Schizosaccharomyces pombe: one gene and its partner. Changing the gene in region 2 together with the main gene of any one other region gives a genetic interaction. Each region holds a gene or a part of one and is shown on either strand. Other genes may lie near its edges. The genes, in order: otg1 and gmh4.

Region 1 (4,747 bases), on a different chromosome or scaffold from region 2:
CAATTTTGAATTCGTTAACGTTTCCAGTCTGGTAGTGCCACCTGTATGGGGAAAGATGCCCGCAATTCTACAAACAATGCGCAAGTATCCATCCGCAAAATGGATCTGGTGGCTAGATCAGGATGCTCTTATAATGAACAAAAATCTGTCCTTACAGGAATTATTTCTCTCACCTGCAATGCTCCAAAAATCATTGCTTAGGGAGCAACCAATTATAAACTCTTTCGGAGAAGATAATTTCAGAATCACTCCAGCGGCTTACTCCAAGGAAATGATAGAACAAATACAATTTCTAATTTCTCAGGATCATAACGGATTGAATGCAGGAAGCTTTTTAGTACGAAATTCAAGATCCATCGCTTTACTAATGGATTTATTGACTGATCCTTCTTTGGCAGATGCAGGAGTCGTGCGTCATGAACAAGATTTGATCGGCTATTTCATTCAAAAACACTCGCAGGTAGCTTCCATGGTTGGCATTCTTCCTCAAAGATTTATCAATGCTTTTCATGAAGGACCCCCTACAATGCAATGGCAAGAAGGAGATCTAGCTCTTCATTTCGCTGGATGTTGGGTTGAAAACAAATGCGCCGAGTTATGGACTAAATACAAAGATAAAATAATTTAAAAGGCTAAATCAATGCCCAAGTGTCGGCGCGTTATAGCCTCTAACATTTTCAATTGCATTTACAGTTAATTTATTATTACTATTTATCTTTTACTTCGTTATATTAATGCCGTCTTATTTAAACATAAATGATTCGCTCCATAAATAATTATGAAGCTGCACATTTTTACAAATCTAATTAATTTTCTTAAAAAAGAATAAATTCTATAAAATGCTTCAAAAACAACCCTCTAGACATAAAGTATCTTTTTCTAAAAAATATTAATGTCTAACACTAATTAAACTATCCTGTTTGGACCTCAGGCTAGTTTAAGCATCAAAAATTGCTAAACGCTTGTGATAATAATTAAAATTGGGGTTTGTTCATAAGGTCTAATGAGTCCATAATGAAGGAGAGATGAGAGGTATATTAAAATCAACCGCAAGTCCAAAATTATATTCTAAAAATAGGCTGACCGAAAGCAAATCACCGCTAACGGGATTTATAGACAGACGCAGGTAATAAAGTTGTATACATAGCCAGCAATCAAAGAAAGCTGAAGAGATCTAAACAATGTGCGTTTAGACAATAAGGATAGCAAGTCTAAAATAAAATTATGGTAATAAGTTAAAGAAATTTTCAAATATATAACATACAATTAGATTTTAACTTCTAATTGTAAAATAAGGTCACAATACAGAAAAAAGAAAGGTATTCCTCCTTTAATGAGTTTCATACTTATGAAAAGACAGCATTTCGCCATAAGCAGCATACCAGTCAGCTAAATATACTGGTGCAAATTCTGAGCTACCAATATTCCAGAATTTTCCGTGTGCTGTTTTTAAGAGAGGACGTTCGTCAATTGAGGGCCACACGCCATTGTAATAAGGATCAAGACGAGTCCAGGGAAACCATCCGTCCAAGGAAAATGCAAGATTCAACAAGCTTTGCTCCATCATTTTGGCATTCTCATACATATAAGGAAACCTTCCGATTTTAAGTATACGGTTAAAATGAAGCTCGCTTGGACGTATAAGCATTAAGCCAGCATTGAAATAAGGAGTATCTTCTGGAGGTATACTATGATGCTCTCCTCTATCAGAGACGGCTGCGAGAAGATAAGGGTAAAATTCGCTTCGACTGGCACCATATTCTTTAAAATCCTCATTGAAGTGATAGACGGTATCATCATCAGGCTTCGTGTAGGAAGGTAGCCGTGTATAGTTCAAGGTATTAATTTGTTGGTACATATAAGGAGTATCAAATATATCATCAATGTTCTTCATGATCAATATATCACTGTCAATTACGCAAATTTTGTCAAATTGTATTTGTTCGAAAATTCGCAACTTCGAAAACATTTGTTCATATCTAGCAGATATTTCTTGACTAAATGAGGATGTATCGTATACAATATCCGATGAAGCAATGGGGTCTATAACAATCACAGAAGCACCATCCTTTCGAAAACGTTCAATTTTCCACTCATCTACTCCACGGAGTGCAAGGATATGGATAGGGTATTTACTTTTGGTAGTAGGATGATATTTCAATCGGTGAATTAAAACCCTAGTAGCGTTGAAGTAGTAATCCTCTTCAGTAGAAGGCATAGTAAACAAACTCATATACGTATATTTGCCAGGCTCTTCTTTTAAGACGGCATTATCATTTTCCTCAACAAAGTTGTTTTTTAATGAAGTAAGCCGGTCATTAAGGGTTTGCTTATAATCGTGTCCGTTAAACACTAAGGTTGTCATCACAATAATCAAAACCACAGAAAACAACAGGAATTTGTAACGCGGAAGAGATAAAAAATTTGAAAGTGAAATTCGAGACATGATAAGAGATTAATTCAACGAACCGCTGAAACAATAGAATTTGAGACACGTGAAATTTTCGAAAGCCTTAAAAAAATGAAAAAAGGCTCTAAAGATGACTCCCTTTATGAGGATGTTACCCTCTAAAATTTATTTATTTCTTTTACCCTTAAACGACTTGCGTTAACAACCCTTTAAAGAAAAAATATCCGAGATTTATGTTTCATCACGCGGGTTGCTCTGCATTTGTCAATTTATTACCAGCACGTTGTTTGTACCATGTGCCGCGCTATATTCAGTTACAGTATTGTAATTCAAATTGTGGAATTGCCTTTTACAAATCCTAACGCTTTGTTTTTTCACAATCATCTTAGTTTGTGTGTAATGGTGTCAACTTTCGAGCTATCTGGATGTTGAAAATTATGAGCTTAAGCATGTAATAGAAATTGACACTAATGAATTAATTTGGTGAAGTTGTTTCAAACAGTGAAAAATCTGACTGTTAGCTGGAAAAGTATTGGAAATACCATTTAGCTTATTGGTAAAGTAAATATTGTGTAAATTTAACGAAATATATTTTGTCGATAAATCTATTCAAATATTCTTTCTCCTTGACCTGATAGACCTCATTAATCGGAAAATGCTTCTAGGTTTGTAAAGACACAAGTGTAAACAGTGGGTGCACAGACGTAATGGAACCACCGTTAAAAAATACATCTTTTAGACTTAGCAACTAATCTATATCTTTATAAGGCCAAAAGCCAGTGTAATCAATATAAAATAAGGACATACCAATACTTTGTAGGGCCAAAAAACAAGATAAATAAAAACTTAGTATAATCCGACACGAATGATTCAATAAAACTTCTATCAGCATTTAACAGAAAATGGCAGCTGCGGTGAAATGCAAATTATTAAAAAGATTTATTAACGCCAAACTGTTATTCCAATCTTCAATATTGCATTGGTAAATTGCCAAAGCAAATTAGTTGAACCAACAGAAACAGCTTCAAAGTCAATGTGAAATATATACAATATATAACAATTATTGATGGACGATTGTGTAAAACAAAACTCCCAGATATCTCGCTATAAAAAACTAACCTGAAACTTTGATTGCTATGGCACAACCGCTATATTAATTAGGTATGTAAAGATTAAAAAATAGTAAACATTATTAGAGATTCAGATAAAGAAAGGAAGATTGACGGAAAATTATACGGCGCTTTGTTTATATATATAAAATTTTTTAAAACACAAACAAATTAAACAGACGGATATAATGAATAAGCAACTTAGTCAATCAAGGCGTAAAACTTTTGCCATAGTTCATCGCAGCGGTTTTCAACCCAACATCCAGCAAAGTGAATTACCAAATCACCTTTTTGCCATTCCATATTTTCCGGACCTTCGTGAAAAGCATTTATTTTTCTTTGAGGAATAAGGCCAACCAGCGAAGCAAGTTGTGAATGCTTAGAAATCAAATATCCAAGCATGTCTTGTTCATTATTGGCTTTCGCACATTCTGCAACAACAGGATCTGTCCAAATATCCAAAAACAAGGCAGTAGCAGGTGAATTACGGAACAAGATACTACCTGCGTTTAATCCATTGTGATCCTGTGAGATTATGACCATGAGATTTTCGATATCTTTTAAACTATAATTACTTGGTGTATAACGCAAATCCCCGTTAGCATTTATAGGCCGTTTAGTGAGGATGGTATTAGTAATTAAGGTCTTTTGCAAGTTCTCAGGTTTCAAAAAGGAGTCTTGAAGGGAAAGATGGGTATTAGTAATAATTGCATCCTGATCCAACAACCAGATCCATTCCGCTTTGGGGTATTTCTTCATAGTTTGTAAGACGGCGGGCATCTTGGACCAAACGGCGGGAATAGGGAGGCCAGTAACATTGACATACTCAAAGTTGTAGTTTTGTTTGGTACTATAGTCAACTCTGTTCTGTATAGCTTCTTCAAACGTATTAGCTCCATTATTGTAAGAAGTGTGTCCATCACTAACTAGTAATAAGACAATATTTTGACTGGCAGGATTTTGCTGAGGCTCTGACTCGTATGACGCCTCGTGGAATGTAGTGCTTGTGGCCACCAAATGAGAGTCTAACGGCGCCAACTCAAACGAGTGATTAACGGATGGAGTGCCAATAGCATCGGAGAGCATGGGTGCAATTTGCTGATCATACAACTGGTTAACCTTCGACACCAAATCAACGTCCACAAAATATATCAACGAGTATAGAAACGCGCCAGCAATCAAGCCGACCGTTAAAAATAAGAAAAAAAAACGACGTGGAATCCTGGAT
Region 2 (4,866 bases):
TTGTCTTCAACAGAATTACCCTTTTTTGCATTGACTCGAATCATCTTTTAAATTTTTTTATTCTTTATTTCAACAATACACTCTTAGATATAATTTTAATCATAATAATTCTCGTCTTAGTTTCTAATATCGTCTTTATACCCAAGTTATCCTTATAATTTATCATATTCAAAATTGATTTTGTTTTCCTTGATTAGCGAGACAGCTTTATAATATTTAAGTAAGAAAAAGACAGCTTCACCTTTGTAAGTATTTAGGCTTTATCGTCGTCCATGCATCAGCAACATATCTGACAAACGGGTCATGGCCGCCAAAAGTATCTCTTCAGGAATGGGATCATTTAGAAAAGAAACTGGGAATGGGTTAAAAGAAATACTTTTGGCAGTGGAGTCTACGAGCTCTTTTTGTACGACATTGTCTTGTAAAACAAGAACAGCATGCCGAAACGAACTTGGTAAACTCGCTTCTAACTCTTTTGAAGTAATAGCTGAAGTCTGACTGTTGATTTGAACAACAAAGTCATATCCACCTTTGTAAGGAGAACTTTTACACAGCTGAGAAGAAAGACATGACCGCACCTTGTAACCCCAATAATGACCACCTTTTTCTCGTGGAGCTGAAAAAGACACGATATCACCTTGAAGCTGGCCTTCTTCGTTTGGAGACTGCGCTTTTAATCGAACCGTGACCCTTGTTCTAGGAGCAAGGACGCTGGGGCTGGAAACGATTACATTGTGAGATAGTCCAGCATTTATAATATATTTATTCTTTGCTTGCGGAGATGGATGAGTAACGATTCCCTCTCGGTATGGGAATTCAATATTCACTGTGCTAGCCTTGTCATTTCTGAGGGGAAGTAATGGAAAGCAGCTAGTATATTTTAGATGTGGATTTAGTGGAAACAATTCCTTCCTCATAAAGAAAGGCGTTTCGAAATAGCATAATAAGTCCGTGAGAAATTTTGTGGGATCCTTTAAATAAGCATCAGAGGAAAGTGTATGTACCTGGGTGTTTTGCACATATTCAGGGTCCTCTAGCAAAATAATTTCGTCAATACCATATAGAGAAACTATTCTCGAAATCTATATTTTGAGTTAATACGCGACAACAACGAATCTTTCAAACCTTCCAGACAAAACTCGTTTTAAGCTGCAAATTGTATGCTACATTTAGACTTGAAATAGGTAATGCTAAAGATATCGTATATCGTCTCGTTGGTGGTAAGCTTTGTATTTCGCTTTCTTTTTCCATAGCAGTTTCTGTAAGCAATTAATGAGAAGTAATAATATGGCCCAAGTAGCAGTATTTTATTTACTTTTTGCTGTCTTGGGAAACAGAATATTAGGATTTGGCTTTTTATAAAAATTTTAACGTCTTAAAAAGTTGGTGAAGAGTAAAGGCATGAATTTCATTTACCAGGCTAAAAACCGTCCATTTAATATAATTAAACTAATTTTAAATTTTTTTTGAAGTATTGATCAAGGTAAAGGGATATTTTATATCAATACTTTTATTGATAGGTAAAAAAAAAAATCCTGTACTTCATAAACAATGAAAAAAATTCAAACAAACAAATGTGTTTAATGCCATTCAATGAGTGCGATTTAAACTATCAATGAGTCTTCGTAAATACCAAAGGGCTATAGAATCCCCTTTTTTTTTTTTTTTTTTTTTCTTTATATGGAAATAATAAAAAAAATGGTGTACACTTTGCTTGCAATTTATATAAACCAACTATACACGCCGAAGCTTGTATATAACCGCTGTAAAAATTTGTTAGTAGAAAAAACAAGATGATATTTTATTAATTACATACATAATTTTTTAAGTCAATAGAAGTTCATCGACTCTGATTCAATTCATCTTCAATCTTACTCTATTTACTATTTACTTTTATGATTTTCGCTATATAATGAGTAGCACCGGGTATAACGCTATAACAGTTTAAAGTATAATTTCAATATCACTAAAAAAATCTAAAAACACGTTAGAGTACGTTAGGTAGGATGCATCGTACACGTTAATCAAAATCCTTCGAATGTCGAACACGCAGACTACAAATACAGCCAAGTTGCTGCCAATTATAAAAGCAACGTTTCTCTGCTCTTAGTACGTGGTTGGGTGGATCCTGATTTCTGTAAAAATCATATTCAATATCAATAACCAGTCCATCTTGACTCGTAGTCTTTGAAACGGTGTAAAAGGATTGTTGTCAGGATAAGCTATAATCTATTGTTGTTTAAATTGTAGAATCTTCCTCTTTTTTAAATATCGCCGATATAGCTTGACAAAAAGGCTCATTTTGAAAGCTAGGCGTTGTGTTCTCGCAAGGTTTCTTTCATTATCCGGTTTTTCGTATTTCTTAGTGAAAACGCCCTCTGTAACATCTTTACTGTTTTAATTTTCGGATATACTCGCGTATATATCGTTGGATCATTTATTTGCATTTAAAAAAGGGCCATATATATTCCATTTTCTTTACGACCCAGATCTTTATACCTTTTTTTCTCTTCTCTATTTATACCTTCTCGATTTACAGATATTCTCTTACCTTCTTTTCTACATTATTTGCACATTTAAAAAACCCCTAAGGTTTATTCTTTTAAACCGTTATCTTGTTCCATAGACGCGCATAACCAACTCATTTTTTCTCGCAAACTGTTTGTTTTGCACTTTTTTACTTTGTATTCTGCAAGATGTTCAACTTTCGTTTATTTTCTCGTAGAGGAAAAAGTTTAGGTCTCTTGGCCATCGTTTTATTGCTTTTTGGCTTTTATTCTTTAAAGTCTTCAATGCCTGTTTATTCCAATTCGATTGGTTCTCCCAGTGCCCATTCCTCTTCATACAAAGGTGTTTCTAAGGCGAAAACATCTCCACAAGATCCTGATTCCGTAGTCATGTTGATTGTTAGTTTTGACGACCATTATGATTCAAGTAGATCTGACTCCAGCTCTGTCTTCCTGGATAAAGTGCTTTCTGATCGTACAGAGTATGCCTTGCGTCATGGCTATACCCTAGTCCACAAGAAAGCCCGCGATATTCAAGCGAGGTATGGTGTCTATGGTACTTGGAGTATTATCCCAGCTTTGAGGGAAACTTTGGCTGAGTATCCCGACGCTGGCTGGATATGGTTGCTCGATGCAAAGGCTGTTATAATGAATCCTTCCGAATCTCTCAAGGATAGGGTCTTGAAACCAGAAAAACTGTCGCAGCATTTGCTTCTTAATTCTCCGATCGATCCATTAAAGAACTACATCCGTACACGCCGTAAAATGGATCCATCTGATGTATTTGTAATTACCACCAGTGATTATAATGGAATTAGTACGCGTTCTTTGCTTATTAAAAATAACAACTTTGCGCCATTTCTTTTAGATGCTTGGAATGAACCTTTGTTGAAATCCGCCGGTTTTGATCAAGCTGAGCGATCTGCGCTATCCCACTTATTGGAAGCACATAACACTATCTTGGATCATGTTGCACTTGTGTCTCCTAAAGTTTTAAATTCATACACCAACTCTGCGGTCGATTTGAATTACGAAGAAGGTGATTTCTTGGTTATTCTTCAGGACTGTGAGAACGCTGCTGCATGCGAGCGTATATTCGAGTATGTATTCTATTTATCATCTTGGTCTCTTGTATTTTTACTAACACTTCCAGCAACTACTATCAACAGAGAAAACTTCCAGCCATTAAAAAGCAGCTTTCGGAAGAAACGGTTGATGAACAATCGTAGGTTAGTACTGTCTTAGCATCTTACTTTCATTTCCAGTAACTCATCTTCATCTAAACCTATCTTTCAAATTCGGTGGTTTGCATATTCCTACATTAATTTAATGAATTTATACTTAATTTCCTTTGTTTGATCAAGGGAAGATATGTTTTTCGTTTACGGAAATACATCGCAGATTGGTTTACAAGTCAAGCAATTCATATGTTATATTCATCAAATCTTCTTAATGAAAGCACGTTAATTGCTATTCTATGCAAAGAAAGAAACATTTATTATGTTTGACCTGAAATCCACATAAACCCAGTTGAATAACATTAATGCATTTCATGGCGACATAGAGACATAGATGCTGTTGAAACATCACTCATGCAAAAAAAAGAGGCTGAAACATTTTTAAAGTAATTATAACTTCAAAATAAATTCTATAAACTAAATGATAAGAATAGATTAGTAACGATAGTGATCAGCCTTGTAAGGACCGTCAACAGGGATACCCAAGTAGTCGGATTGAACAGAAGTCAAAGTAGTAAGTTTGACACCGAGTTTACCCAAATGAAGACGGGCAACCTCCTCATCCAACTTCTTGGGAAGCATATGAACACCAAGAGGATAGCTGGTGTTATCGGTCCACAAAGCGATTTGGGCAAGGACCTGGTTAGTGAAAGAGCAGGACATAACAAAAGAGGGATGTCCGGTGGCACAACCAAGGTTAACGAGACGACCATCAGCTAAAAGAATGATATGACGACCGTTCTTCAATTCATAACGATCAACCTGGGGCTTGATGTTAACAACATCCTTAGCGTTAGCCTTCAACCAAGCGACATCGATCTCGACATCAAAATGACCAATGTTACAAACGATAGAGTCCTCCTTCATTTCGTTGAAGTGCTCACCACGAATAATGTCACGGCAACCAGTGGTGGTAACAAAGATTTGACCTTCCTTAACAGCCTCTTCCATAGTGGTGACTTCGAAACCGTCCATAGCGGCTTGAAGGGCATTGATGGGATCGACTTCAGTGACAATGACACGGGCACCTTGGCTACGAAGAGAAGTTGAACAACCTTTACCAACATCACCAAAACCAGCAACAACAGCAACTTTACCAGCAATCATAACATCAGTGGCAC

What was found.
Region 1: mutations in gmh4 (region 2) and otg1 impair growth when combined (synthetic growth defect), as found in Schizosaccharomyces pombe (one study listed by BioGRID).

The regions. Positions count from the first base shown.
Region 1 is NC_003424.3:165,090-169,836, forward strand, and holds otg1 (alpha-1,3-galactosyltransferase Otg1), read right to left. Parts: upstream 2,651-4,747; 5' UTR 2,447-2,650; coding exon 1,331-2,446; 3' UTR 725-1,330; downstream 1-724. Other genes in the region: alpha-1,2-galactosyltransferase Gmh1, read left to right, coding at 1-628; alpha-1,2-galactosyltransferase Gmh2, read right to left, coding at 3,721-4,747.
Region 2 is NC_003423.3:1,387,487-1,392,352, forward strand, and holds gmh4 (alpha-1,2-galactosyltransferase Gmh4), read left to right. Parts: upstream 1-2,049; 5' UTR 2,050-2,696; coding exon 2,697-3,607; intron 3,608-3,660; coding exon 3,661-3,736; 3' UTR 3,737-4,180; downstream 4,181-4,866. Other genes in the region: SPOM_SPBC8D2.16C (uncharacterized protein), read right to left, coding at 261-1,082, 1,126-1,251; SPOM_SPBC8D2.18C (adenosylhomocysteinase), read right to left, coding at 4,181-4,866.